Struthio camelus: one gene and its partners. The main gene of each other region encodes a partner of the protein of the gene in region 4 in a complex. Links are inferred from orthologs where the notes say so. Each region holds a gene or a part of one and is shown on either strand. Other genes may lie near its edges.

Region 1 (7,401 bases), on a different chromosome or scaffold from region 4:
GAGGGGGGGGAAAAAAAACCCCAAAAAACCAACCAAACCAAACCGGGAACGAAACCCATTTGGGCGAGCGGCGCAAGAGCCACGCTTTGGTGCCGGTGGGGCTCCTCGTCTCCCCCCCAACTCCCCGGGCTGAAAAAAAGAAAAGAAATCCACCCGGTTCCTCCGGGCTGGAGCGCTAAAACGTGGTAAAACCAACCCGAAGCGGGAGGAAGGTTTGGTTGGAAAAACCAAACGAACCGAGAGGGGAGCGGGGACGCCGCTAACTCCAGCTGGGGTCGTAGCCCGTCCAGTCCGAGGGGGGCGCGAGGTAGACGCGCCGGCCGCGGTAGACGAAGCTGACGATGCCGCGGTAGCCGGCGCGGGGCACGCCGGATTTGAGGTCGTCCATGAGGCCCAAGGCCTTGGCGAAGGCTTTGAAGGAGTCGCGGCTCGTGTAGCGCACGCGCACGGCGCCCAGCTCGCGGCGCCGGTTGCCCTGCAGCTCTTCGACCCGCACCTCCGGCGCCGCGTAGACGCGGGGCAGGAAGGAGCGTTCGTACTCCTCCTTTTTGAGGTAGGAGAGGTCGAGCCGGGTGAAAGGCACGAAGCGGTCGTTGAGCTTGATGAACTTCAGGTACTGGTCGAAGAACTGGCCGTGGCTCACGCCTTTGCGACCGAACGTCATGGTGCGCGACACCTCCGGGCGCACGCACGAACGCTCCCGCCGTTGCTCGGGTTGCCTCATCCAATCGTCCCAAAACGCTCGAGGCCATTTAGGTTCCAGTTCGTCCCACAACTCGGCCAGCAGCAACCAACCGAGACCCGGGAAGAAATCGGTGCGGTAGAGCAGCTCGGCTCGCCCGGCGTCCACCATCTGCTCTTTGCCGTTGTCGTTCCAGGCCGAGACGCACCAGAGGCTGCGGTCGGCCAAGAGCAGCGGGAAAGTGGCTTGGAAATACTCGAAGAAATCCGGCGCTACTTCCAAGTCGTCTTCCACCACGATGGCCGCCCGGTAGCGGAAAGTACGGAAAACCTGTCCCAGAGCCCAACGGTAGTGACGGGCGATTTTGTAGTAACCTTGGAACTTGCGGTGTTCGGCGGGTACGGGCACGTCGCTGAGGTCGGGCTGCCGGATGTGAGCCACGGCGTCGCCGTACGAGGCGATGACGCGCGCCGTCTCGGCGTGCCCGCAGTCCTGGCTGACGATGACGGGGAAACGTTCGGGCGAAGGGCGGTAGCGCAGCAGCTTGTCCAAGCACCGGCGTACCGTGCTGCGGTCGCAGGCCATCACCAGCACGGGCAGGACGACGGAGGCGGCGGCGGGTGACGGCGGCGGCCGGGGGCTGCTGGGGGGAGGCGGCGGGCGCCGGCGGCGACCCCACAAGCCGCTGTAGCGGTGGATCTGGCGCAGCAGTTCCTTCTGCCGTTCCAGCTCGGCTTCGGCATCCTGCGCCAGGCGGATCACCTCCTCGGTGAGGCCGCGGCCGGGTTCGGCGCCGGGGGCCGCGGGGCGGCTCCAGAGGAAGAGGAGCAGCAGGCCGTTCCAAGCGACGAAGAGCGCCGCCCCCCACAGCGCCAGGCTGCTCTTCTTCAGCATCCTTCACCCGGCGGCCGCCCCCCCCTCTCTCTCTCTCTCCACCGCGCTCACGCCGCCGCCATGGACCTGCGGGCAAAGCCGAGCCGAGCGCCGCGTTAAAAACCTCTCGAAACCCCTAAAAAAAAAAGAAAAACCACCCAAAAAAAAAAAACCTCTCCACGCCCAACGCCCGCTCGAAAAACACCCCGAAGAGGAAGTCGCGAGAGGAAACAAGACGCCCCCGAGGTCCCCAGCGCCGAGGCCGAAAGTCGCCTGCGGTAGAAAAGGAGATGGGGGGGAAAACAACCCCCCCCCTCCCCGATCTGCCCCCAAAAACCCCAGCTGCCGGGGCAGAGTCCGTCCCCGTTAAAGGTTAACCTGGGCGCCGGGGCCGAACTCGCCGCCGAAACGGGGCGGGAAAAGCCGCCGGGGCGGTTTTAGCTTTTCTACGTGAAAAACTGAGGGGGATAATTAAAAAAAAAAAAAAAGGGAAAAAGTAAAGAATAACAGACCCCCCCCCCCCCCCCAAAAAAAAAAAAAAAAAACGCGAAGCTTTGGGGGAGCCTCCGCGGCGAGTTACTCACCCGGCCGCCGGCGAGCCCGGCCCGACTCCTGCCGTGTGGCGGAGGTAACACGTCAGCAGAGCAGGAAACGAGGGGGAGGGAAAAAAAAACAAAAACCGGGGGAAAAAGAAACCAGAAAGAAAAAGAAGATATTGGGTTACTGAAGTCAGGCAGGAGGCGGCCGTCCCCGGGGCGACTTTCTCCTCCGCTCGAGCAAGCGGCCGAACGAAAACTTCCGCCCCGGCTCCGGCGGGCGGCGATTTACGTTCCTGAAAAGAAGGAGGGAAGAAAAAAAAACAAACAAACCCGGACTCGCCGTCCCGCTGCCGTTTTGGGACCGGTTTTATTATTATTTTTTTTTTTTTAACCCTCCTGGCGGGAGGAAAAGACGCGGCAGGAGGCAGGTTAATTCGCTAAAGCCGCCCGGGGTGGGGGGGGGAGGTTTAAGCTGCTTTTCCTCGCCCCCGGGGTCACGTCGCGCGGCGGCAAAACGCCCCAGGGGCGAGGAAAAGTTTCCCCGCAACCTGTCGGTTCTGTTCAAAAGGGGGGGGGGGAAAGGATTCCCCCCCCCCACCCCGCTGCTTTTTCCGGCGGGATTTAAAGCCCGGCGGCGAAAGGAGGGGAAAAAAAAAAACCCAAAACGCGGGAAGGGTAAATAAAAAACCCCCGGCGCGAAGCTGCCGCCTTACCTGGCCGGCGCCGGGGGAGGGGGCTCGCCGGGGTGTCCGTCCGTCCGTCCGTCCGTTCCCCCCCCCCCCCGGCCAACGTCGAGGCCTCCGCGATCCGGCTCCGGGGTTTTTTCCGCGCCGGGAAGCGGATCAAGCCATGGGGGGGGGGGAAGGGGGGGGGAGGATTTGGGGTGGGGGGGGCGGCCCCGCCGGGGCCCCCGGCGCCGCTCGCGGCTGCTCTGCGGGGGGGGGGAGGGGGGACATGAGGGAGGGGGTTGGTTCCCCCTCTGCCCCCCCCCCAAATCCCATAGGGGACGGGGACCTTCCCCCCACCCCCCATCCCAGCCCTGTTCCCTCCTAAAGGGGGGGGCAGGGACCCCCCCCCACGCAGCCCTATAGGGGACAGGGACCCCCCCACCCCATATGGGAGAGGGATCCCTCCTCCACACCCCTATAGGGGACAGGAACCCCCCCTCCCCACGCAGCCCTATAGGGGACAGGGACCCCCCCCCCACACACAGCCCTATAGGGGACAGGGACCCCCCCCACACACCCCTATAGGAGACAGGAACCGCCCCTCGCCACGCAGCCCTATAGGGGACAGGGACCCCCCCCCCACGCAGCCCTATAGGGGACAGGGACACCCCTAACTACTTCTGTAGGGGACGAGGACCCCCGCACACACCCCTCTATACGGAACAGGGCCCTCCCCCACTCCTATAGGTAAGAGGGCTCCCCCCCCACACCTCTATAGGGGACAGGGCTGCCCCCTCCACACCTCTACAGGGGTCGGGGCCCCCATATAGACCTCTATAGGGGACAGGGCTCCCCCCCTCCACATACCTATATAGGGGACAGCCCCCCCCACCCCCTTATAGGGGACAGGGGCCCCACACACACCCCCTATAGGGGACAGGCCCCCCCCACTTCTATAGGGGATAGGAGCCTCCACACCCCCCCCTATAAGGGATAGGGCCCCCTCCACACACCTCTATAAGGGACAGGGAGCCCCCCACACCTCTATAGGGGACAGAGACCCCCTCACACACCTCTATAAGGGACAGAGATCTCCCCCAAACACCCCTATAGGGGACAGGGCCCCCTCCACACACCCCTATAGGGGACAGGGAGCCTCCCACACTTCTATAGGGGACAGGGGCCCCCTCACACCCCCCTATAGGGGACAGGCCCCCCCCAGCCCCCTCCCCTCCCCATAGGGGACAGGACCCCCCCCCCGACACCCCTATAGGGGACATGCTCCCCCCCGGGGGGGGGGGTCCGGGCCTCCCTCCTCCTCCTCCTCCTCCCCCCCCCCCGCCCCTCCGCGCCCCTCCGGTACCAGCGGCGGCTCCCAGCAGCGCCCGCCACTTCCGCCTGCCCGCGCCGGAAGTGGCGCCATGGCAACGGGCCCGGCCCCGCCCACCGCGGCGGCGCCGTCCAATCAGCGCCGGGCAAGGCCACGCACGCACGCACGCACGCGCGCTCCCCTGCGGGCGCTCCCATTCCCGCCGCCTCCCTCCCTCCCCTTCCCCCCCCCCGCGCGGCGGGATGGTACAGCCCGAGGGAGGGCGGGGCCGCCGGCCACGCCCCCCTCCCCGCGCGGCCACGCCCCCTCCCCGCGCGGCCACGCCCCCCTCCCCGCGCTCCAGCGCCCGCCCGCCGCCGTTTTTAACGTCTTTGGGGCTTTTTCGGTCGGTTTCGGGGTCTTTGGCGGGGTTTTTTCGGGGGGGGGGTCGAAGTTGTGACGGGGGGGGAGGGGAAACTCGCTCGTTCGTGCCCCGAGCGCCGCCGCCGCCATTTTTGGCGTCGCCTCAAGAGAGGGCGGGAAGGCGGCGGGTCACGTGGGTGGGGGCCCCTCCCCCCCACGCCGGCCGCTCTGGGCGCCGCGGCGGCCCCGGCTCGTCTCGTCTGCTCCGGGCGGTGGGACACGTGGAGGGGCGATGGGAGGGGGCGGGGGGCAATAGGGGGGGATGGGGGCAATGGGGGCAATAGGGGGGATGGGGAGGCAGTGGGGGGTGATGGGGGGCAATGGGCAGGGGGCAATGGGGGTGATGGGGGGCAGGGGGCCATAGGTGCTGATGGGGGCAATGGGGGGGTGGGGGCAATGGGGCAGGGGGCAATGGGGGGGATGGGGGCAATGGGGCAGGGGGCAATAGGGGGTGATGGGGGCAATGGGGGGGATGGGGGCAATGGGGCAGGGGGCAATAGGGGGTGATGGGGGCAATGGGGGGGATGGGGGCAATGGGGCAGGGGGCAATAGGGGGTGATGGGGGCAATGGGGGGGATGGGGGCAATAGGGGGTGATGGGGGCAACATGGTCAATGGGGGGGCAATGGGGGTGATGGGGGGCAGGGGGCCATAGGGGCTGATGGGGGCAATGGGGAGGCAGTAGAGGGTGATAAGGGGCAATGGGGGGCAATAGGGGGTGATGGGGGGCAATAGGGGGCAGGGGGTGATGGGGAGGCAGTGGGGAGTGATGGGGGCAATAGGGGGATGGGGGCAATGGGGGGGCAATAGGGGGTGATGGGAGGGCAATAGGAGCAGTAGGGGGGGATGGGGGGCAATAGGGGTGATGGGGGGCAGGGGGCCATAGGGGCTGATGGGGGCAATGGGGGGCAGGAGCTATAGGGGGTGATAGGGAGCAATAAGGGGTGATGGGGGGCAATAGGAGCAGTAGGGGGTGATGGGGGGCAATAGGGGGTGATAAGGGGCCATGGGGGGCAATAGGGGTGATGGGGGCAATGGGGGGTGATAGAGGGCAATAGGGGGTGATGGGGGGCAATAGGAGCAGTAGGGGGTGATGGGGGCAATAAGGGGTGATGGGGGGCAATAGGAGCAGTAGGGGATGATGGGGGGCAATAAGGGGTGATGGGGGGCAATAGGGGGGCAGGAGGCAATGGGAGGGGGGGAAAGGCACCCCTCTGCCCCCCCCAGCCCCCCCCCCAGCCATGGAGCCGCCGCCGTCCCGCTTCCAGTCGTGCCTGGACTTCTGCCCCGAGTGCGGGGCCGTGCTGCCCCGGCCGGGCCCCCGCGACGCCGTCTGCTGCGCCCGCTGCGCCTTCGCCCTCGACGTCGCCGGTGAGCCCCCCGGGGAATGGGGGGGGGGGGGGGAGCAGGCCCGGACGCCTGGGCCCCCCCCCCCCCCCCCCAAACCCGTTACCCACCGCCTGCCCCCCGTCCCCCCCCGGCAGATTTCGACGGCAGAGCCGTGCGCACCGCCGTCCAGTTCAACCGGCCCGAGCTCGCCGCGCCGCGGCCGCCCGAGCCAGCGCCGGGCCTCGACGGCCCCGTGGTGAGCCCGGGCGGCGGCACGGGGGTAAACCCCCCTTGGGAGGGGAATAAACCCCTTGGGAGGGGTATAAACCCCCCTGGGATGGGTATAAACCCCCCTGGGATGGGTATAACCCCCTTGGGATGGATATAAACCCCCCTGGGACAGGTACAAACCCCTTAGGATGGGAATAAACCCCCCTGGGACAGCTATAAACATCTTGGGAGGGGAATAAAGCCCCTTAGGACGGGTATAAACCCCTTAGGATAGGTATAAACCCCCCTGGAACAGGTATAAACCCCTTAGGATGGGAATAAACCCCCTTGGGACGGGTGTAAACCCCTTAGGTTGGGAATAAACCCCTTGGGAGGGGTATAAACCCCTTGGGATGGGAATAAACCCCCTTAGGATGGGAATAAACCCCCCCTGGGACAGGTATAAACCCCTTGGGAGGGGTATAAACCCCCTTAGGATGGGTATAAACCCCTTAGGATGGATATAAACCCCTTGGGATGGGTATAAACTCCCCTGGAACAGGTATAAACCCCCTTAGGATGGGAATAAACCCCTTAGGATGGGAATAAACCCCCTTGGGACAGGTGTAAACCCCTTAGGTTGGGAATAAACCCCTTGGGAGGGGTATAAACCCCCCTGGGATGGGAATAAACCGCCCTGGAACAGGTATAAACCCCCCCGAGATGGGAATAAACCCCCTGGGGTATGAACCCCTTAGGATGGGTATGAACCCCCCTGGGACGGGTATAAACCCCCCTGGAACAGGTATAAACCCCCTTGGGATGGGAATAAACCCCCCTGGAACGGGTATAAACCCCCTAGGTTGGGAATAAACCCTCTTGGGATGGATTTAAACCCTCTTGGGATGGGTATAAACTCCCCTAGGATGGGAATAAACCCCTTGGGATGAGTACTAAACCCTCTTGGGATGGGTATAAACCCCCTTGGGAGGGGAATAAAAGCCTTAGAATAGGAATAAACCCCTTTGGAATGGGAATTACACCCCCAGGATGGGAATAAACCCCCCTGGGAGGGGAATAAACCCCTTTAGAATGGGAATAACCCCCCCAGGATGGGAATAAACCCCCTTGGGAGGGGAATAAACCCCTTTAGAATGGGAATAACCCCCCCAGGATGGGAATAAACCCCCTTGGGAGGGGAATAAACCCCTTTAGAATGGGAATAACCCCCCCAGGATGGGAATAAACCTCCTTGGGATGGGAATAAACCGTTTTGGGACGGGTATAACCTCCCTGGGAGGGGTATAAGCCCCTTTAGGGCAGGTCTAGCCCCCCTTGGGAAGGGTTTAACGTCCCCCCCAACCCCGGG
Region 2 (7,425 bases), on a different chromosome or scaffold from region 4:
TAAAAAAAGAACCAACATGCACGCTACACTTGTTTACTAAAGGTAGTACAATAGTATACACAACCCATGCTTCCTTTATACTCACTTTCTTCATCATCATCAGAATCTGAAATGTCCACATCATCCTCTCTGATAGTTATCCGAGCTAGCAAAAAGTGAGATTATTATTGTAAAACCATACAAATCGTATAGGTAACAGTTCTGATGCCAAATCAAAGTACACTGGATGACAGACTTCATTGGAACTAAAGCATCAAAATTATCCCCATGACTTTCTATAATTGACTTTTTATTCAGCTTATTGCAATCAACTGTTTTATTCATAGAGCCAGAAGGTTCTCTAAAACATTGACATGATCTTCATCTCAGCATTTGTTTTTTCAATTATAACAACATAATACAGTTCACCCCTCTCCAAGACATTTTCAGAAATGGTATCTGACTGTATTAGCCATTAGAATGTGTGTTCTGAAATCTAAGGTACATAAAATGGACTGTGTTCCGATTCAGTCATTGAAGTGAAAAAAGGAATCAACAGAAAAAAAATGATAATTGGATTAATTCTAGCATGGATTAGTTTTCTAATAGAATTAATCTAGGAAAGAGACATTTTGATAAGCCAGTAAAGAAGAATTAAAAAAAGTAACTTACGGGGAATAAACTGCGATACAATCATGCGGAGGCATGGCCTAAGATGGACAGTTTGTGCTGACACTAGATTGCCAAGAAAACCTAAATATTCTTCAACTACATCTCGGCTTCTTCTCAACCACGGCAGCTTCTGAAAGCAAGTAAAGATGAAGATGTCAAACACAGAGATATTTTAAGTACTAAACTCTTAATCTTTGCATATAGCAAACAGATATTTACCAGCAAAATGTTGACCAGTTGTTCAAGATCTTTGGTCAAGTATGCAACAGAAGCTCGGAATTCATGTAGCCAATTAATGATCTGGGCATCCTTAAAATAAACAGAAAAAAACAAGTAACAATTTCAATAAATAATATGACCTATTACTAGAAAATAACCTTAAAATGACAAAACAAAGATTAAGACTGTAAATAGGAATTATTTTCACGTTAATGTGACAAGAATTTCTCAGACTAAGTTTGTCTCCCTACTAATAAAAGTTCTTCAACGCAAGAATAAATGCATAGCATCTTTCAAAGCAACAGCCTGCCTGAAATATTTAACTTAAAGTCTGGGCAAGGGATGCAAACCGGACTTAAACAGAATATATTTAAAAGAGATGGAGCTCAGAGAATGTTAATTCTCTTTTCTTTTCTTGTTGCTCTTAGTTTAAGCAGAAAGGCCATCCAAGTCTTGAAATAAGAGCGATAGTGGAACAGCAGCAGATCTACAGAGAAATATTACATTGATTTTGCCTGTAGTCTCCGAAAAGTCTGCTAAAAACAATTAATTTTACACAACATCCTCTTTAAAAAGAGGAGAAACTCAATTTGGCATTATACTTGCTGCAACATGCTTCTTATAGTTTAGTGGTTTAATAAAAAAAAGAAACAAAGATGGCAGACAGGATGGGTACTTATGGCTGTAATGAGCAGCTCTTAAAACAATACTTCTGGGTACAAACGCTAAATGTACATGCATCTCACTGCCTAATTAATTAAACATTTAATAAGAACTGAAGGAAGTAAACATTAATGTAACTTAGAGGCTGTAAAAGTCAGAAGGAAAGACAACAGACTGATCTACGAAAGTAATCCATACATAGAGCGACAGGCCCTTGGCACAAAGCAAAAAGTTTCCCACTCTAGAGCACAAAAATAGTAAATGTCGCTTTTGACATTTTTGTCGCTTGAATACCTATCAAGGTCATGCATATAAGATGCATGTCTCTGTGTAAACAGACAGTTGCTGGCTTTTTGTTTGGACTTTCAATTTTGATAGTTCCCACAAAGCAAAGAGCTGTTAAATGCTGCTAAATGTTTAAAGGAAAGTATTTAGGCAAGTGACAGGCACTTTTCTAAACTGATCTACTTGCAATAAGCCCATTAATAATAATAAAACAGTAACTGCTTTAAACACCAGAATCACTTGCCCGATGATTACACTCACATCTGTAACTAAGCTTTAGGTCATCAGACCCTTCACTACAAAAACGCTTACCTTTATGTCTGGATCTGACAGTTGATGCTTTAACAACTCAAAATCACTGGTTTCACCCTAGTAGGGGGAGAGAGAAAAAAAAAAAAAGAGCAAATGATGTTTATGGACTTGTGCCAGAAAATACAAACCTAAGCTTCATCAGCACATCTAAACAAGCTGACATTGTTTAGCAGCGACACAAATAACTGAGAAAGCTCAAGTAAAGCAGAAGTAACAGAACGCTCTCCCTGAAGGGCAGCTTTAGCTATCAGGTCGTTTCTGCTCCTCTCCCTATAGAGGCAGTTGCGATCACTTGGCGTCCTCTGGTATCAGTCAGACTTTGCAGCCATCAAAGGCGTCACTCAGACAGACTCGTCGGGGAATTTGTTTCACTTAGAGAACAACGCAGTCTGGCATATGCCCAAAGCACTCAGCTACCTTCTTTTTCCTACGCCACCAGACACCCTCTCGTGTAAGACAAACTAAGTCTTCATGTCCAAATTAAGTGCCGCAAACTAACAGGATGGCAACACACGCGACGGAAAGGCGGCGAAGAGCTGCGCAAGCACGTCCGCGATCCACGACGGGGAAAAGAGAGCGATAATCACCTTCTCGTACTTCAGCAGGATATCCGTCAGGGTGCCCCCGAACCGCACCGTCTTCCTCGGCGGGGAGCTGATGAACTCGTCCCCTCCCAGCATGGTCACAGGCCCGCGCCTGAGGAGAGGCGACGCCGCACGAGCGCCCGGCACCAACGGCCGCGTCCCAACGGCCCCCACCCCCCGGGTCGCGAAGGAGACGGGGCAGCACCTCCTCGTGCGTCGCCCCCGCCGCCGCCGCCCCTCGGCGCCGCCTCGCCTCGCGCCCCGCTAACGGCGGAGGCGGCGCCGGCCGCCGCGGCCCCCGCACGCCGCCAGCCGCTGCCGCCGCCCCATGCCGGCCCCGGGCGGAAAGGGCGCTCGCCTCCCCGGAAAGGGCGGCTGCTCCGCCCCTCGCACCATAGAGCGGCACGGCTGGAGGGGCCGCTGCTGCTCTGGCCTGGGCATCGCTGGTGCGGGCGGACTGAGGGGGCGGGGCGGCAGGGCCGGGGCGAGCGGACAGGGGAGATACCCGCCGGGCAAAACGCTGTCGCTACTGCCCCCGTTTTCTTAGGTTTTCCCTTCTATACCTGCGGGTAAGTAAACACCGTCGTAGACATTTAATACTCACAGCTGGAAGGTATTAAAGAGCAGTGCGAGTAAACACTCAAGCTCAGTGTTAGACTTGAGAATTGCCTAGGGAAAGAGAATTCCAAGGTCATGTCAATGTCACCGTCCGTCATTCAGAACTGCATCTCTGATTTGGGGCCAAGTGACTTTTTGTTTATGTGTATACCTGAAGACATGAAATACGAGATGACCTGCGAGCTGCTGCACTGAGAACTGGCCAGATCCGTCGCAAGTCCCCACATCCCAAAGCACATCGAGATCCCATGCTGGCGATACCAAGATTGCAACAGCCAGCTAGTAAATTCAGACTTTTCCAAGTTTATTTTTTTATCGTAAGCTGTGCTACTACGGCCTAGAACAAGGGAAAAAAAAAACTGTCAAATGATCCCTTTTACTCAAGATTAAAGATTGCTGAAAAATTCAGTTAAAAAAAAAAAATTTTGACCTTGGGAAGCAATTAAGCGTTTGTTAGAGCAAAGGGACAGGCAGAGAGTTTCGAGAAGCTTTCTGGGCTTTTTCATCCTCTTCCTGTAAGCTAGGGCTATATTAAAGCACCACACTGCTAGCACAGCATTTGAAGAATGATATAAAATAAACTATGGACTTTTCTATCTCTATGCTAACAACTGCTTTTCCTCTCAAAACAATATGTATATATAAAAATTGCTGTTGAGAAAATCATTAGCTGCTGCTATTTCAAAGGCCATGTTTTTGATAGACGCCAGCTGATACTATTAATGGTCGTAGCAGCACATATAATTCAAAAAGAATTATACGTGAAAGCCTCCAATAGCTTTCAGAGCAACCAGGATAAATATGAATAGGAAGCAGGCATTTTCCATCTAGTTCTTCAGTAACATTCAATTTGCTCAAAACTTTTTTTTTAATCCAGCTGAATGCTTCCTGCTCCAATACATGTAAAACAGCTACAGCAACATGAGATTATTTGACCTTTGTTCTCTTCTGCAGCTTATTGCTTTCGACACGAACTGCTACTGGAATAAATATCTCCCTCCCACCAAATGCCCGCCTCCCCCCCAAATACACCCATCAAACAAAAATCAAACAGAAGAGATTTTTGCAGAATTTACTAATAAATTAACTTTTACTAATTTGTCCCTTCATAAGATGTTTCTGTTTAAGGAAAGTAAACAGCATATATTGCATTAAAAGTCTCTTCAGATGTAGCCCACATACAAGATTCTAACAAACATTCACTCATTTATGGTTACAAGATCAGGGTTTGGCTTTTTTCCTTTAGTTATCATGTAAGGAAGTGGAATATAGGATGCCATTTTTCAGCTAAGCTTTAAGGCGTAAAGCAGGTATAAAAAAAACTCCTGTACAACCAAACTTCTGTAACCAGAGTTGGGTTCTTTCGGATTTTGGCTGTTTTTAAACATAGAGTAAGGACAGTCCTTTAAGTCTAGAAAGAATTCTCACAGTATATGCAAAATTCAGAGTTCACAGAAGTACAAGCAATCCTAACAATGAACAAGTAATTTTTTTCCTCCCATAAACAAGATACAAGTTCTTTGAATGGACTTCGTTCTGCATTGAGCTACAACTGATAAGGATCCTGGGAGGCTCAAATAGTGTTAAATACATGCTAATGTTTAACAGTTAATCATTGTTTGACTTGCTGGTTTCTATTTACTATTGCAGTCTTCCTTATTTAGGAAATAAAAAATAGACCACATTAAACAGGAACTATTTTACATTTTCAAAAAAAATAAAAGTATGATAGCTTACAATAGTTATCATTGCTCCCATGCAAGTATGTTGTATCTTATCGTTATTTAGACACATCCTACTAGTAACATTTAAGTGTTTTTCTATGATTAACTTGGGTCTTTCTTTTCTGAGGTGTCAACTCTTATATTTAACTGTTAAGACACGCACAGTAGACTACTCATAAATGCAAACATCGGAATCCCTCACAGTTGCTGAGTGGGGTTGCAACAACAGGCAATATTCTATCTACCATCCTACACAACTATCACTGGGTATCCAATGCTGGATTCGGGATTAATCACTACAGTAAGTAGGAGAACGGCTACCCACAAAAGTTTTGGGTTAAATTATCGCTGCTACTCATCATTCCACTTACTAAATATTACATCTCATAATTCAGTTCACAGATCAAAACTATGGGGGATCAGTACAAGCAGTTACCTCTGTTCAGAACAAGTAAATGAACGTGTTTCTTGTGAACAGCCCTGAAACAATGATCTATAGGTTTTTAGGGAAGGAGATTATTTAAACAGCACATTGTAACAACATATTGGTGTCACATTGCAGTTCCTCTAAAAGAAAAAGGAAACAACTTTAGATACCTTATAAAAGCTACAGTTATTAAGGAAGAAATTGAAATTTTACAGACCTTCAAGTCTAGCATCTATTTAAACTTGTTGAAAGATTGAAAGCATTTGGAAAACATTTTAAAATTGACTATGCATAGAAAGGTACAAGAGAAAGTTACAAATTATTTGGAACAGAAAGTCGGAAGACATTTCAAGAGTTCACAAGGAAGTAGAGCCACTGTTTTCCTACTAAATGTTTTCCTTAAATCCACCTCTATATTCAGTTAGGTGTGGCATAAAAACAGTTGTCTATTAGAAGTGGAAGACCTACCCATATTTGCTAATGGTAAGTTCAAACTCTTAGCGTTAGTTCAGAAACAGAGGAACTCATTAGGAAATTCTCCTACACAGAATTTTTAGGCACAATTATCACAGACTAATTGGGGCTGGAAGGGCCACCTGGAGATTGTCTGGTCCAACCCCCGCTCAAGCAGGGTCACCTAGAACAGGTTGCCCAGGACTACATCCAGTCGGGTTTGAATACCTCCAAGGATGGAGACTCCACCACCTCTCTGGGCAACCTGCTCCACTGTTCAGTCACTCAAAGTGTTTTCTTACGTTCAAGTGGAATTTCCTGTGTTTGATTTCTCGCGTCTTTAGCTGTAATATAAATCTTTTCCCACGTGCTAGTTCTAATTTCAGTTACGTTTGCATGTAGATTTGGTAAGATTTTTGTAAAGCAAAGCATTTGTTAATCTATAGATTTCTGAATGTTTCAGCACTAGAAAAATAATTCCTGTAACATCAATGGATTAAAAAGCCTCCTCTTAGAGCGATCATATTACATCATTTTCTGCTATGAAGAAAAAAAAAAACGGTATCTCAACAACACTATTTTTACTTGTTACTTACAAAATTTCAAATTCTAAGTTATTCCAAGATGACGAAATATATTAAGAGTCACAATAAATTGTGTATTTACACTATAAACAATTTATGCTACGTTTGTAACTTTGCTTCAATAGTTTTACATAGATATTTTTAAAGCACTTTACAAATAGAAGTATTGCACTGGCATCATAAAAGTTCACAGTGAATTTGAACTCCAGACCTTGGTAAGACAGTGCAAGAGCTTTTCATCCAAACATTCCTGGGTATATTAAAAAGTATTTCTATATTAAATGTTGCAGTGATTTTTCTATGAATCAGGTTTGTTTCCTTGTTAGTTCTCACTTCTTAAAAGATTTAGTTTATGTTTTGAAATGTTGCAAAATACAATAAAAACTATGCAGTCCAACACTGAAATAGGTACATCTGGCAGAGATACGTGACTGTGTGTCCGTTTTATACAGAGTCCATGACGGTCACAGAGATTATTCCATAATGAAAGAATCCTATTGCATTAAGTGGGTTATTCTCTTTCCACAATTTGCAACACTTCCCCCACTTTTAGAGGCAGTAACTTCAACAGTCGTGTCTTCAGCAGATCCTGAAGATAATATATTAAAAAAAAAAAAGTTACTTCCAAATAGTCTTAGAATAAATACTCATATAAAACTCTCAACTATTATTTGAAGTCAGCCTGAAAAGTACTTTTCCACAAGTTTAACAGCCAGCTGGGGTCAAATAAAAGACCCATCAAGTCAGTAGCTCGTCTCCAACAGTGATCAAGAGTGGACGTCTAAAGAAGGGCATAAGGACATGGCAAGCTAGTAGTATCTCCTCAGGATATTATCTTCGCTTCCACCTACTGTCCTGGGTCTTCCTGAGCTAAAGAGCTTCGCGTCTCTTCTGTTTTTTTCTCT
Region 3 (7,317 bases), on a different chromosome or scaffold from region 4:
ACTGTGACTAGCTAAATAACAGGGCTCGGACCCCGCTGGCCGGTGAGCCACCTGTGTCACCCAGGGCCAGCAGCAGGGCGAACAGATACCAGGATGCGCTGTCCCAGGCAGAGGCACTGGGCTGCACTGGTCCCAGGCAGGGACACTGGGAGGCACTGGTCCCAGGCAGGGGCACTGGGCAGCACTGGTCCCAGGCAGGGGCACCAGGAGGCACTGGTCCCAGGCAGGGGCACCAGGAGGCACTGGTCCCAGGCAGGGGCACTGGGCAGCACTGGTCCCAGGCGGGGGCACCAGGAGGCACTGGTCCCAGGCGGGGGCACGGGGCAGCACTGGTCCCAGGTGGGGGCACTGGGAGGCACTGGTCCCAGGCGGGGGCACTGGGCAGCACTGGTCCCAGGCGGGGGCACCGGGAGGCACTGGTCCCAGGTGGGGGCACGGGGCAGCACTGGTCCCAGGTGGGGGCACTGGGAGGCACTGGTCCCAGGCAGGGACACTGGGATGCACTGGTCCCAGGCAGGGGCACTGGGCAGCACTGGTCCCAAGTGGGGGCACTGGGAGGCACTGGTCCCAGGCAGAGGCACTGGGTAGCACTGGTCCCAGGCGGGGGCACTGGGCAGCACTGGTCCCAGGTGAGGGCACTGGGCAGCACTGGTCCCAGGCAGGGACACTGGGATGCACTGGTCCCAAGTGGGGGCACTGGGAGGCACTGGTCCCAGGCAGAGGCACTGGGATGCACTGGTCCCAGGTGGGGGCACTGGGAGGCACTGGTCCCAGGCAGGGACACTGGGAGGCACTGTTCCCAAGTGGGGGCACTGGGAGGCACTGGTCCCAGGTGGAGGCACTGGGATGCACTGGTCCTAGGTGGGGGCACTGGGAGGCACTGGTCCTAGGTGGGGACACTGGGATGCACTGGTCCCAGGCGGGGGCACTGGGCAGCACTGGTCCCAGGCAGGGACACTGGGAGGCACTGGTCCCAAGTGGGGACACTGCGAGGCACTGGTCCTGCTGTCAGAGAACAGCCCATCACCCTCATTGGGGGGGGTCCCTGCACCCCTCGCCCTGGCCGAGGGGGTCCCCGCACCAGGTCCCCCGCGGGCCTGCCAGCCCGGCTGCTGGGCCAGCTGCCCCTTGCCCGGGGCGGTCCGGCAGAGCGGCGCCGCGCCGCCGGTCACCTTGGGAGCCGCCAAATATAGAGGCGCCGGGGCAGCGGGGAGGGCAGCCAAGGCCCAGGGCCGCCGCGGGCAGGAGCGGGGCCGCGGGCGCGTAGGGGCCTCGCCGCCGCTCGGCCCTTTTCGGGGCCTTCTCCTGCCTCCCCGGCCGCGAGCACCCGCGTTGCAGCAGCGCCCGCTGCCCGCGCGCCGGGCTGCTGCCCCGGGGTCGCTCGCCCCGCCGGGGTGGCCGTGGGGTCCCCCCCCCGCCGTCGCAGCGGGGCCCCCCGGGCCGTGCCTCCCGCCGGCCACGCTCCACCTCCGCCCGCCCCGAGCGGCCGGGGACGCATGTGCAGAGCTCCGGCTGCCAAGGCCGCGGCGGGCGGCGGGGGGGGGAGCGGTGGCGCGGCGGGGGCCGAGGCCGAGGCGGGCATCGGCGGGGGGGAGGCGGTGGTGGCGGCCCTGGCGGCGGGTTTCGGGGTGGCCGAGAGGGTCACGGCGCAGCCTGGATGTGGAGATGGCGATGGCAGCCCCCCCACCCCCCGCCCTGGTGCAGACCGCTCCGGCATCAAATTAACCCTGATTATACATAATCTCGTTAGCGATGGCAAGCAGGGCGGCACAGGACAGCTGCCTGCACCCCAGCTCTAGATATAGGGCTGCGGGGGGGGGGGGTCCGAGCGTTTCCTTGGGGAGGACATTGGGGTCCCCGAGGGCTCTCCAGGGCTAAGCGGGACCCATCGCTACACCCAGCTTTTCCCAGACCGGCTCTAAACCCGACGCGGCCGTTCCCGCTTTTTGCAAACGGCCGGAGACAGATGGAGGTAGGTGGCCAGCGTTTTCCAGCCCGGGGCCGGCAAATCCGCTGGCCGGCGTCCCTCGCCTGGGCCGGCCGTGCTGGACACCGTCAGCAGCTCTGCGCCTCCCAAACCGCCTTTTTCCCCACCTGGGTGTGCTGCCGCTAGCAATTTTTCACGCCGACTGGTGCAACCCCTCTGCAGCATCGGAGCTGCCCGCGGAGCTGCCCGGTGCGGCGCGGGGCCGCGGATGCGCACCCGCGCCGGCACTGAGCCCGTGGGCCTGCATCACGCGGCAGGGGCTCGCACCCGGCTCCGGCCGAGCGCCCGCTGACGGCAGACGGAGCCGTGGCCCAACATCCGCAGCATCGGCGTGAAACGCTCTGAAAGCCGGGAGCCTCCCAAAAACGGGAGAAGCAGCAAAGAGCCTGCAGGCCTGCACGCACCTTCGCATGCAATCTTTGTGCTTTTGGCAGCAAGAATACCCACGTGTACAAATAACAGCGATTAAAAACTCCCTTTGCAAGCAGAAAGTCCTCTGGCGCGGAGGAGCGCGCAGCAGAGCAAGGAGGGGAGCGTTTTGAGCAGGTGTTTGTGCGGCGTCTCCGTTTCTGCCAACCTGCTGCAGGTTTTTACGGCCTGTTCTCACGCCTCACGTTCCCTTTTTGGTAGCAAAAAAATATAACCGCGTTTCAGGCCGTCCGTGACTGCTGATCACTGCTAGCTGTGCAGCAGCTAGAGCTAGCTGGGAGTTTCCCATCCAAAATGGCTTTTTGGTTAGGAGGCATCGTCGGCTTGCAGCGGCGTGGGAGCTTTAAAAATAAAACAAAATAAAAAGGGGAAACGGGCATGTTGTTGAGGTGAGACATCTGCTAGGCTTTCTGAAAGCTGCTTTCCACTCAAATGGGTCTTTGAGAGATGAAAAAAATAATTAAAGATTAAAAATGCCAGCGTTCGAATGTTTGGCCTGATTGTCTGTGATTTCTTTTTTTTTTTTTTTGGTAATTTTCCCCCTCTTGCAAAACAGTGACATTTCACCTAATTTAGAACAGGAAAACCAGCTCAGCAAAGCGGCCCTTTCCACGCAGGATAAATATATACGTATTTTTTTTTTTTTTAATCTTTGGCCAAAGGGATTAGCTCCGCGGAGCCGCCTGGCACGCCTCGGCGGCCGTGCCGGCTGGAGAGCAGGCCTGCGCGGCAGCGCGGCAGCCGGCGGAGGGGCCGGCCGGCAGCTTGGCCGGCTGCTCTTCCGCCTCCGACTTTCGCCTGCAAGACAAGGCCCGAATAAGCTGCTTGCGTCAGCCTGGGAGGGGGCCAACTGCACCTGCACTTGGGGGCTGTTTTTCCCCTTTCCTTGTAGAGAGCGGTGAAAAACCCGCCGGATTTTGGCTGTATTTCCCAGGCGAGCGGACGGAGAGGCGCCTGCTGGCATTTCCGCGGCGGTTGCAGCGGCGGGGCTCTACCTCCCTATCCCACGGGGTCCTGGGCAGGGGGGGTTCCCCACCAGCTCCCGACCCCCCGAGCCCTTCGGCAGGTGCCGGCGGGAGCTGCCGGCGCGCAGGACGGCCGGGAACGGCGGTGGCACGCCAGCGGCCCGGCGCGGCCGGGAAGGCGCCGAGCGCCGGGGTGGCCGGGCACGGCCGGGAAGGCGCCGAGCGCCGGGGTGGCCGGTGAGGCGCAGACAAACCGGGGCAGCCGGTAGTGTGCGAGCAGCCTGGGATGGCCCGTAATTTGCAGGCAGCTTGGGATGGCCGGTAATTTGCAGGCAGCTGCCCGGCCGGGATTGGCTGCGGGGAATGACGCCCAGCACAACAAAGGTGGAGTTGGAGAAATTGCATTAAAAAAAATTAAGAGCGAGAGAGAAGGAGAAAGGGAGAGGGGAGCGGAGGGAGGGAAGGAGGGGAGGAAACTGCCCCTCGCCCGCCCCGCCGGGGAAATCCCCGAGCGTGGCCGTGTCCCGGGCGGCGGCGGCCGGGCGCCCGGGGCCGGGAGCGCGGCCACAACGCCGGGCGCTGCCCGCCCTCGCTGCCCGGCGCCGGGGGTGGCCCAGCGGCAACCCGCGGGGTCGGAGGGGACCCACCGGGGCGGGAGGCGGCTCGGCTTCCCCCACCCCCCGCGCTTCCCACCACCACCACCACCACCACCCCCCCTTTTTTTTTTTTTTTTTTTTTTTATGCAAACGCCAGGAGAGGATTGTTGCACATGTAAGGAGATTTTTTTTTTTCCTCCCCCCCCCTTCCCTCCTCTCTCCTTCCTCCTCCTCCTCCTCCTCTTTTCTTCTCGCTACAGTGTTGCAAAAGCAAAGAGCAATAAAAAACACAGTGAGCGGCGGTGGGAGCGCGGGGCGGCGGCGGCCGGCGGGCGCCGCTGGGGAGCGGCGAGGCTGGCGGCGGACCCCGGCGCGCAGAGCCCGGCTGATTGGAAGAGAAACGCAGCGCCATGGAGGCGGGGGAAGCGCGATCTCTCTGCGGGGACTGGAGCGCGTCCACGCCCGGGGCCAGCGCTGCAGAGCTGGCCGCCGTTCAACCGGCGCTCCCCGCCCCGGCCCCGCCGAGCCCCGGCCCCGCCGAGCCGCGGCCCCAGCCGCGGGCCCGCAGGTACGTGCGTGCGCCGGGGGAGCGGAGCGGAGCCGCGCCGCGCCGCGCCGTGCCGTGCCGCGCCGCCCGGGCTCGCCATTCGCCGCCGCGCCGCTCCGCCGGCGGGGCTGGAGGAGGCGCTTTGTTCCTCCCCGGGCTCCCGCTGCCGCCGCGCACCGGGCTCTCGGTAAGGCGCCGCCGCTCCGATCGCAGCGAAGGTGGAGGGGGGGGGAAGATTTTTGTGGCGGTGTCGGTGGAGGAGAGAGGGGGGAGGAGGTTGATTTAGATTTGTTAATTTTTTTTTTTTTCAAAAAAATTTTTTTTTTCCGCTCTCCGGGGCGGCCGCGCAGGCCCCGCGGGCAGGAAGCCGCCGCCGCCGTCGGGGCTCGCTCGCTCCCCGCCGCGCCGCGCCGGGCCGGGCCGGCGGGGGGCACCGCGCTGGGGCTCGGCGCGGGGGGAGCGCTCGGCTCGGCGGCCTCGGTGCCCCCCCCTCCTCCTTCCCTTCCCTTCCTTCCCTCTCCTCCTCCTCGCTCCCTCCCTCCTTCCCGCTCGCCCTCCCTCCCTCCCCGGCTGCTGCAGCTGGATTTCGGGGGCAGGCTTCCAGCGCTGGGCGGTTGTTTTTCCCCAGCCCGGGTGAGTCCCGCGCCGCGGCGGGGAGCTCGGCGCCGCCCGGCCGCGCTCCGGAGGGTGCGTGCCCGGGCTCGTCCGCTTCCCCCCCCCCACCTCCGCTTTATTCCCCCGCTTTCTTTTCTTTTTTTTTTTCCCCCTTCTTCCCCTCTTTTTTTTTTTTTTTTTGTCTTTTTTTCCCCCCTTCTTTCTTCCTTTCTTCCCCCGGACCGAGAGCGGGGCTCCAGCCCCCCGCTGGGTGGGTGGGTGTTTCTGGGCTCCGCCGTGCGAGGAGGGGTCGGGGGGAGAGGAGGAGGAGGAGGGGGCGGCGGTGGTGGTGGTGGTGGAGGGGGGGGGTGGTGGGTAGGAGCCGCTCCCCGGGGGTCGGTGCGGGGAGGTCGCGCTGCCCTCGCCCGGCTCGCTGCAGCTGCCCGGCCGCCCCCAGCCGGGCATCCCCGCCCCCCCTTCCCCCTCCTCCTCCTCCTTCTTCTTCCCCCAGCGGCTCCGGCGGGGCTGGGGCTGCGGCGGCTCGGCGAGCTTCTCTCTCTTCCCCCCCCCCACCCCACCACCACCACCACCTCCCGCCTCCCCCTGCAGCCCGGAGCCTCGGGAGGTGGGTTTGTCTCGGCTTTATAACCGCGCCGGCTGCACAGCGCCCAGGGCGGCGGGCTGCGGCGGAGCCGGCGCGGCGCGGCGCGCCCCGGCGCGGAGCGGCGCGGAACGGCGGGCGGAGGCGGGCGCAGCCCGGCCATTGTGTGCCGCGGCGGAGAGCGGCCGCGCCGAGCCGAGCCCAGCCGAGCCCGGTAACCGCGGCGGGTGGAGGGAGGAGGAGGAGGAGGAGGAGGAGGGGGGGGAACCGCAGCAGCAGCAGAGAAGGGAGGGCAGAGCCGCGCCGCATTGCCCGGGCCCCAGCGGGCTGCAGCGCCCGGCGGCGGCGGAGGGGGCCGCGGAGCGGCGGCCGCATGCAGCGCGGCCGGGGGCGGGAGCGGAGCGCAGGGGAAGGAAGGGCAGGGCCGGCGGAGCGGAGCGGAGCGGGGAAGGGAAGAGCCAGCGGAGCAGCGCGGAGCAGGGCGGCGCGGCCGGGGGAAGCGGAGCCGCGGGGCGCCCGGAGCCGGGGCCGCTCCATTGTCTGGGCGGGCGGCGGGCGGGGGAGGCGGCGGCGGCGGCGGCGCGCGCTGGCGCCCGGGCGGCGGCGGCGGCGGGAGCCGGCGGCGCGGCGCGGCCGGGGGCGGGCGGAGGGGCCGCGGCCGCGGCGGGCAGGGAGGCGCCGCCGGGGCCGCCCGCGCGCGCGGGTCCCACCCGGTTCCTGCTGCCTGGCGGAGGAGGAGACTCGGCGCTGGCCGGCGGCGCAGGGCATGTGCGGCCTCCCCGCCTCCGCCCGCCCGCCGGCCCGGCCCCTTCCTCCCCCCCCCCCTCCTCCTCCTCCTCCTCCTCCTCCCCCCCCCAAACACACACTCCTTCCGCGGAGGAAGGGGGGGGGGGTTGGTTCCCGGTGCGCCCCCCCCCCCCCCCCCCGCGCCCGCGGTTCCCGGTGCGCGCGCACCGCGCATCGCCCCCCTGCCCCGCCCCGCCGGGATCCCGCCCCGCGGTCCGCCCCCCCCCCCCCCGCCGCCGCCGCTGGGGCCGGGCCTCTGCCCGGGGGGGGGGGTGACCCCCTCCAGCCCCCCCCCACTGCCGCCGGGGCCGGGCTTCTGCCCGGGGGGGGGGTGACCCCCTCCAGCCCCCCCCGCCGCCGCCGCCGCCGCTGGGGCCGGGCTTCTGCCCGGGGGGGGGGTGACCCCCTCCAGCCCCCCCCCCCCCCGCCGCCGCCGCTGGGGCCGGGCCTCTGCCCGGGGGGGGGGTGACCCCCTCCAGCCCCCCCCCCCACCGCTGCCGCTGGGGCCGGGCTTCTGCCCGGGGGGGGGTGACCCCCTCCAGCCCCCCCCCCCCCCCCACTGCCGCCGGGGCCGGGCTTCTGCCCGGGGGGGGGGTGACCCCCTCCAGCCCCCCCCCCTCCGGGGGTGATCCTCCCTCTCTTTCCCCCCCCCTCGGGGATGGTCCATCACTCCCCCTTAGGGCCTGCCCCCCCCCACCCCCAAAACTGCCCGCCAGCTCGGGTTCCCCCCCCCCCCCCAAGGCCTCGGGCCTGCGCTGCTGGGTGATCCCTGCCCGGTGCTCCATGGATTTCCCCCCGCCCCCCCCCCCCCC
Region 4 (7,377 bases):
CATTGTCCCCTGGTTCCTGAGGAAGGCAAAAGACAGGGCACTCTAACATAAGCCTCTTCCCCTTTCAGCACAGAAACTCCATGGCTCTGCTGGCATGCGGATGTTGTATGGGCTCCCTCTCGTGTACTGGGGAGGCAAGCAGACCCCAGCTAGCCAAGCGGATCCTCAAGACCAAGAGCTGCCCTTGTGTACGGCTCCAGGGCAGCCTTCCTGCTGCTCCCACATACCTGTTTTCCAAACTGGTTGCAGGGAAAGGCCAGGATGCGTAAACCTCTCTCAGCGTATCTGGCGTACAAGTCAACGAACTGAGTGTAGTTTACATCCGTTTTGCCTCATTTTGAAGCAACATTGGTGATGATGCAGACAAAGCCCCTGGAAAGAAAAAGAATCAGAAGGAATTCCCGTAACAGGGCTAGGCAAGCCCCTCACGTATGCTCTCTGTGAAGGGTGCAGCAAGAAGGGAAGGCAGCACAAAAAACAAGCTGCTTTCTCTGTAGCCTTTCTCATGTTATGCAAGCTCCCTTTGTGGCTTAGTCACTGCTGCCTGGTGCAGCTACTAAGGACCTTTGAACAGCACTCCCCCTCGAGGGCTCAAGGGCACCACCTCCCCCCTCCCATGCTTGTGTACTGCGTTATTAAGGACAAGCCGATTCCAGGCCGTTCACTCCTACCTGTATTTCTCCAGAGAGACAGTGTTGCCGTCTATGTCTTGGGCATGGAAGTCATAGATTGATTTGGCAGTGCGCCAGTCATCTACTTGGGCACACTGCAAGAGAGCCGAGAGCTGCTGTCAGCTTCCCTCCCCAGCAATCCCAGCAGCACGTCCTCTCCAGCTTTAGGTGAGCTCAGCTCCAACAGGAGACCAGCAGTGAGCCATGTCACAGCAATAGGTTGTGCCTGTGCCCCCATGCTGATGGCTCGCTGTCTCTGTCCCTCCCATCCATAGCAGCTCCCCTCTCTACTCGTTGCTCATGTCAGGACTCGTGAAGCAGAAGCTGAGCGTACCCAGGAAGGCAAGTGTCACACACTCTGGTGGCTCCCTGCTGTCAGGTGCCCCAAATGAGCCACGTGCTCCATGTCAGCTGGTCCACCCACAGGGTCATGATAATCCAGCTAAGTTACAAGTTTCCCAAACTACAGTTTCTTAGGTCTTCTTTTCTCCTACGCAGCACAATGTAAAACTTGCAGTAAAACTTGCACGTTATTGATGTTGCTCCCTGCTAGGTTTAACAACCCCATGATTCATCCTGGGTGCTTCAACTGCTGGAGGAGCACCCCAGGCAGGGCTTCGGTTTCCAGAGCCTCCCCCCACCACACCTCTCCCAGCATTTCCTCACCCTGTGCAGTGACGGCTGGACAAGCACAAAATTAGAAGCTTAAGCACAGATCCTTGCTGTACGTGCCCCAGGCCCTCATGGAGTCCCAGGCAGGGGCCATCCTGGAGGCCTCCCCCCCGTCGGAGGAGCGGGTCTCCCGCCCGGCCCAGGCAGGCCGCGAGCACCGTCCCCAGTCACCACCAGTTTGTGCCCTGGCCGGACGGGGGGAGCAGGCCAGGCCCTGGCAGCGCCTGAGCACGGCTGGCTTCTGCTCCTCGCTCCCTCCCTGAGGCAAGAGCTGCTCCCCGAGGAGGAGGAGGAGCAGGAGCAGGAGCAGGAGCAGCAGCAGCAGCAGCAGCTCCTGCCGCACAACGGAGCGCTGCAGCCCGGCCCGCGCCGCCGCCCACCCGGCTCCCGGCGGGTTCATCCAGCCGGATTCGGTCCCTTTTTTTTTTTTTTTTTTTGGGGGGGGGGGAGGGGAGCTGAGCTGGCAGCTGCTCCGGGCCCACCTCCGCGCACGGGCAGATCGGGGCGGCCGCCGGGCTGCGCAGCGCTGCCGCCAGGCGCGTGGCCCGCGGCGGCCACCGTCCCGCGCGGGGGTCCGCCAAAGGCGGCCGCCACTCTGCCCTGGGGATAGGCCGTCTCTATGGTCACCTCACTGAAGGGCCGTTACGCGCTTCGCCTCCTCCAGGGGCTGAGGCGGGTGGACACCGACATCGACACCGTGCCCGGCGCCGCACCTCCCCCCCCCCCGCCGGCACCGCCGCGCTCACCATGTTCCCGCTCAGCCGCCGCGCCGCCACCACCCCGCACAGCAGTGCCCGCCGTGACAAGTGACCCAAAACCATCGCGCCGCCACCGCCTCCCGCCCTGAGGCCCGCCCCCTCCGGCGGCTCGGCCAATCAGCGCGCGGGGAGGCGGCACGGCCCAGATGATGGACGGCGCAGCTGGCCAATCGCAGAGCAGGCAGGGGGCTGTTTGGCCGCAGCGGTTGTTTATCGGTTAGGCGGGACGGACCACGAGGCGGGGGGGGGGGGGCAGGGACGGACCACGAGGTGGGGCGGGGGGTCCCCAGTCACGTGGCCGCGCCGGTGCTCGGCGCTGCAGGCGCCGCCGCGGGGCTCCCTTGGGCCTGGGGCGCCAGCGGTGGCCCTCCCGCGGCACATGGCCCGGGGCTGCTTGGGTCTCGGTGCGGGGATGGTGGCGTCCATCACGGTGCAGGGTTGGAGCATTGCTCACAATTCTTGGTTGGAGCATTGCTGACGGTGCAGGGTTGGAGCATTGCTGATGGTGCAGGGTTGGAGCATCGTTGGCGGTGCATGGTTGGAGCATTGCTCGTGGTGCAGGGTTGGAGCATCGTTCACAGTGCAAGGTTGGAGCATCGCTCGTGGTACAGGGTTGGAGCATCGTTCACGGTGCAGGGTTGGAGCATCATTGGCGGTGCATGGTTGGAGCATTGCTCACAGTGCATGGTTTGGAGCGTCACTGGTGGTGCAGGGCGGAGGCTGCCGATCACTGCACCCTTGGGCTGCACTGCCTGGGTGCCTGCAGCCACCTCTTTGCAGCTGGGTGCAGGCTGCTACAGGTGCTGCCTGCTCGCGGGCCAGTGGGTTTGGGGAACGTCCTTGGGAAGCAGTTTCTAGCCCCGTGACTGAGCTGTGGCTGTGGGGCTGCGGTGTGACGGCAGACGGGAACATTTTCCTGTGGCTACTCAATGCCTGGATCCAGGAGGGCACCGGGAGCAGAAGAGGCTGCAGATAAAAGCATCTCCCGCTCGCCACAGTCTTGGCTGCTTTTGGTCTTGGTCTTGGGTTGTGGCTCCCCACGGACAGCCGCTGACGCTGCTGGCTGTCAAGGACAATTAGCTGTAGGCCGTTAACTTTAGACCAGCTCTTAGGAGTTAAAATCCCTCGTCTTGCTGCTGAGTGGAAACTGGAAAACTTGAAAGGTCCTGCCGAAACGAAGGGAGGCACAAAACACGGCTGAGCCCACGCGGCGGGGCTGAGCTCCTGTCCTGCCCATGTTCTTTGAGCCAATTTGTAGGGCAACGCAAGCACTGAAAAACGTGAAAGAAAGGGGGGAAAAAAGGGGCTCTCCAGCTGGGATAATTTGGGAGAACACGAGATTAAAGGAGGCAGATCCCTGACCAATAGTTTGTGTCTTTTTTTAGTGCTTTGTTAGGCAGGATTAATGACGGCTTGTGATTAGAGTTAAAGGCGGCAGGAAAAGAGCCTCAGCAGGCGGATTGTTTGCAGAGGGTTGGATTTCTGTCTCTGCCAGTGAAGCTTGCATCTACGTTGAATAATATCCCCCTTCAAAGGAGTTTTCTACTTGATCTGTGTGCAAAATTGGTAGATACTGCTACTGACAGGTTGTGGTCTTTTGATGTGTCCTGGGCTGAGAAGCTCAGAGCTGTAATTCAAACTGGCAAAAAAATTGTCCCTCCGCCCTGCTGCAAAGAAGAGATGTCCTTTGCTGTGGCAGAGGAGGCCCCCCCACCCCAATCAGGGCCGTCCCCACCGGGGGTGTCACTGTCACGCGTCTGGGCTTGAGACTGCTCCATTGTGTTGCAAGAGGATTTGTTCTGTTTTTCTCTCCCCGATTCGTTCTTGCCACACCGTCCCCAGCTGCAGGGTGGCCGGGAGGGGTCAGGCATGGTGACAAATGGCCGCACAGGCCGCTGGGGGGACTGGGCAGCCCCCGGGCTGGGGCCTGGGCACGCAGAGCTGGTGGTCCCAGGCCCCCTGCCCTGCCCTAGAGCCTCTACTGTGCCAGGCCCAGGTCGCTGACCTGCCCCAGGACCCCCCCGCCCCAGACCCACCCCAGACCTGCCCCAAGACCCCCCTGCCCCAAGACCCCCCTGCACCAGGACCCCCTGCCCCAGACCTGCCCCAAGACCTCCCTGCTCCAAGACCCCCCTGCCCCAGGACCCCCTGCCCCAGACCTGCCCTAGGACCTGCCCCAAGACCCCTTGTTTCAGGGTCCCCTCCCCAGCCCCCCCCGGGGGCCCCCGCCCGCCAGGGGGCAGCAGCGGCGAGGCGAGGCGAGGCGGGGCGAGGCGGGCGGGACTACACCTCCCAGCAGCCCTTGCTCCCGAGGCCCCCGCGGCGGCCCCGGCGGCCGCCTGCAGCGCCGCGCGGCAGGCGCTTAAAGCGGGCGCCCCAGGGCCGGCGGGGGGCTTTCGGCGGCGGCAGCGCGCGTGCGCGAGGGCCATGGACGACGAGGAGGAGACCTACCGGCTGTGGAAGATCCGCAAGACCATCATGCAGGTGCGGGGCCGGGGCCTGGGGGACCGGCGGGCCGAGAGGCCCGGGGCGGGAGCCTGGGGGCGGCCTGGGCCTTGGAGGGAGGCTGGGGCCGAGCCGGGTGGGGGGAGAGGCGAGGCCCGGCCCGGCCCTCTGTTCTGCTCTCCTTGGGGAGCCATCGCGGCGGGGTCCTGGCGTTTGGGACTCTCTCGGGCCCGCCTCGGAGCGCTTGTCCCCCTTCTCCGGGGCGCGGGCAGGATTGCGCTGTGCTAAGAGCTGTACGGAGTTTTCGTGGTGGGGCTTGATGGTTCAGCAGTGCCTGGCGCTCTGGTGCGGGCTCCGGCAGCAGCAGGACTTGTGTTTGGAGCGCGAAGGGTGAAACGCTGCGTGTGGGAAGTGAGCGGAGCTGTGAACACGGGTTACCTGTTGTGTGTCTTAAGTGAGGATGTTCTCTGCAGCTTTGTCATGATCGGGGCTATCTGGTGACTCAGGATGAGTTGGATCAGACCCTGGAGGAGTTCAAGGCCCAGTTTGGGGACAAGCCTAGTGAAGGGAGGCCGAGGCGCACTGACCTGACAGTGCTGGTGGCTCATAATGATGATCCTACTGATCAGATGTTTGTTTTCTTCCCAGGTAAGTGTGACACAGTTACCATATGTGCAGTGAGCTTGGACTTCTCAAAACTGTTAACTCAGGCACCAAGGAATATCTGCTGCTGTTGCGTGTTACCTTTTTGCCTCACACTGATAGAAGCTGTGTGGAAGGGATGGCTTGGCTTTCTGAAAGCCTGATGTGACTGTGCTTCCCCAGCGCTCAAAAACTCACTTCTAATGAAAGCCAGTTCTTCCTGTTCTACTGGCATGAAGCCTTTCAGAAAGCTTATTCTGTCCTGCAAAATAAATATCTTGGTGTGGTAAGCTCCAGCTGGGTTTTCTTTATTTACACAACATGCCTTATTCCACTGGGTTTAACAAGGCAAAACATTCCATAAGTTTTGCTGTGTATGACTGCAGGGGTGACTTCTGCAGCTGGTAGGCTGGATGCAGAATGTTGTGCAAAAAGAAAATACATCACAGAGTAGAATGAATGAATATTTGTGCATAAGTGTATCACTGGCTGCAAAACAAAGGCTATTAGAATGTGGATTACTGAATGCATGTATCGTGATCATGGTACCTCCCTCACTCCTAGAGGAGCCCAAGGTTGGAATAAAGACAATCAAGATGTACTGTCAGAGGATGCAGGAGGAGAACATCACCAGAGCGTTGATTGTGGTACAGCAAGGCATGACTCCCTCAGCAAAGCAGGTACAGAGAACCCTTTTTAAAAAAAAAAAAAAACAACCTGTCTCACGGTCCAGAGGGCAATTGTAGACTATGGATGTTTTGCATGTTTGTTTTGCAGTGCTGCTTTAGATTAATAAGAATGTTGAATTTTATTTCTGAGAAAATGTTTCACTAAAACCTGTTGTCCCTTAACGCAGGGGACATGTCTTGCTTAACATGCAAATGTGTTTAACCAGAACAACTGGCTCTGATTAAAGAGAGCTTTCTAACTCTGGTTAAAGAAGAAGAGAGGGCCTACTGAGGTTTATGAGAGGAGAGGAGATACTTGCCAGCGGTGACAAGGTCCGTTAGCAGTTTGCTGTGTAGCTCTAACTGTGTGAGCACAAATGTAATGATATCCCTTGCAATGTGATGTTTATTGAGCGCAGGTAGGACTGACCTCGAGCAGTGCCCTGTGCTGCAGTCTGACATGCCTTTTCCTTTTCAGTCCCTGGTAGATATGGCTCCCAAATATATCCTGGAGCAGTTTCTGCAGCAAGAGCTCTTGATCAACATCACAGAACATGAGGTAAGTTGTGCTGGCAGTGGAGCAAAGGCGAGGCAACCAGTCTCTCTGCTGAGCTGCAGACCATCACCTAGCTTTTAGCGATCTTCTGTTTGGAAGGTCAGGCTGGGTGACACAGCAGTAGTTGTTCTAGTTTTGCTTACCCACATGTTCCTTGTCCTGCTGCTGTGAGGAGACTTTTGGTTTCTCTGGTTTTCTAATCTTGGAACGTCTCTCCTTTGTTTACAGTTGGTTCCAGAGCACGTGGTCATGACAAAGGAAGAAGTAACTGAGCTACTAGCCCGATAGTATCCTTTGTTTGTTCCTTCCCTCCCTGGGTGTGATTCATACTTGCTTTAAGTTGAAAATGAATACACCTCTGAGTGTGACAATGTACTAGTCGGTTCTAATAACCGTGCCCGTTCTTAAAACAAATGGGTACCTGAGCCAGTTGCTTATGCTGCTGATAGAGCTCTTCCTTGACTGTCCTGTGCAGTAAGCTGAGAGAGAACCAGCTCCCACGCATACAGGCTGGGGATCCAGTGGCCAGGTACTTTGGAATAAAGCGAGGTCAGGTAAGAGTGACACAAGCTGGTGACAGGCAGCAGTTCTCTATAGGCAGAGCTGTGATAGTAGGGGGTATTGATGATATTTCTGAACCCCAAGAGAAGGGAAGGGCCTTTCTTTCCCATGGGAAAGCTGTCGTGGTACAGAGACTTGTGTAAGCTGGGCAGGCTTCCAGCAAGGGGAGACAGCTGTGGCCATTGAATCCTCTGAGGACCAGCAGATGTGACTCCATTCCCAACCTTTGACTGCCCTGCACTTGAAGGTGGCACTTCTATGCTACGTTCCAGCCACAGGCCTGAAGCTTGGTGCCCAGTGTCTCTGTGGCTCCTGAGGGTTGCAGTGTTGCAACTGTTCTGTCTGGGTTTGAGTGTGTATGCGTGTCTGGCAGGGAAGCCCTGCTGGGGAAACTTGCCACCAGC

The links.
Region 1: POLR2E (region 4) and POLR1H share a complex: the UniProt entries of both Homo sapiens proteins name them as parts of the pol I pre-initiation complex. The link is inferred for Struthio camelus from reciprocal best matches to the Homo sapiens genes POLR2E and POLR1H.
Region 2: POLR2E (region 4) and RRN3 share a complex: the UniProt entries of both Homo sapiens proteins name them as parts of the pol I pre-initiation complex. The link is inferred for Struthio camelus from reciprocal best matches to the Homo sapiens genes POLR2E and RRN3.
Region 3: POLR2E (region 4) and UBTF share a complex: the UniProt entries of both Homo sapiens proteins name them as parts of the pol I pre-initiation complex. The link is inferred for Struthio camelus from reciprocal best matches to the Homo sapiens genes POLR2E and UBTF.

The regions. Positions count from the first base shown.
Region 1 is NC_090977.1:793,330-800,730, reverse strand, and holds the start of POLR1H (DNA-directed RNA polymerase I subunit RPA12), read left to right. Parts: upstream 1-4,386; 5' UTR 4,387-4,477; intron 4,478-4,504; exon of another isoform or gene 4,505-4,706; intron 4,707-5,720; exon of another isoform or gene 5,721-5,732; 5' UTR 5,733-5,734; coding exon 5,735-5,864; intron 5,865-5,977; coding exon 5,978-6,078; intron 6,079-7,401. Other genes in the region: MGAT1 (alpha-1,3-mannosyl-glycoprotein 2-beta-N-acetylglucosaminyltransferase), read right to left, coding at 260-1,576. UniProt on the Homo sapiens protein: Core component of RNA polymerase I (Pol I), a DNA-dependent RNA polymerase which synthesizes ribosomal RNA precursors using the four ribonucleoside triphosphates as substrates. Can mediate Pol I proofreading of the nascent RNA transcript.
Region 2 is NC_090956.1:11,723,180-11,730,604, forward strand, and holds the start of RRN3 (RNA polymerase I-specific transcription initiation factor RRN3), read right to left. Parts: upstream 3,015-7,425; 5' UTR 2,811-3,014; coding exon 2,718-2,810; intron 2,188-2,717; coding exon 2,131-2,187; intron 961-2,130; coding exon 871-960; intron 782-870; coding exon 652-781; intron 146-651; coding exon 86-145; intron 1-85. Other genes in the region: transmembrane protein 238-like, read right to left, coding at 7,100-7,109. UniProt on the Homo sapiens protein: Required for efficient transcription initiation by RNA polymerase I (Pol I). Required for the formation of the competent pre-initiation complex (PIC).
Region 3 is NC_090966.1:4,609,383-4,616,699, forward strand, and holds the start of UBTF (nucleolar transcription factor 1), read left to right. Parts: upstream 1-4,316; 5' UTR 4,317-4,545; intron 4,546-4,611; exon of another isoform or gene 4,612-4,711; intron 4,712-4,940; exon of another isoform or gene 4,941-5,157; intron 5,158-5,632; exon of another isoform or gene 5,633-5,743; intron 5,744-5,837; exon of another isoform or gene 5,838-5,933; intron 5,934-7,317. UniProt on the Homo sapiens protein: Recognizes the ribosomal RNA gene promoter and activates transcription mediated by RNA polymerase I (Pol I) through cooperative interactions with the transcription factor SL1/TIF-IB complex.
Region 4 is NC_090967.1:7,260,583-7,267,959, forward strand, and holds the start of POLR2E (DNA-directed RNA polymerases I, II, and III subunit RPABC1), read left to right. Parts: upstream 1-4,376; 5' UTR 4,377-4,528; coding exon 4,529-4,585; intron 4,586-5,019; coding exon 5,020-5,194; intron 5,195-5,752; coding exon 5,753-5,868; intron 5,869-6,334; coding exon 6,335-6,415; intron 6,416-6,640; coding exon 6,641-6,699; intron 6,700-6,887; coding exon 6,888-6,966; intron 6,967-7,377. UniProt on the Homo sapiens protein: DNA-dependent RNA polymerase catalyzes the transcription of DNA into RNA using the four ribonucleoside triphosphates as substrates.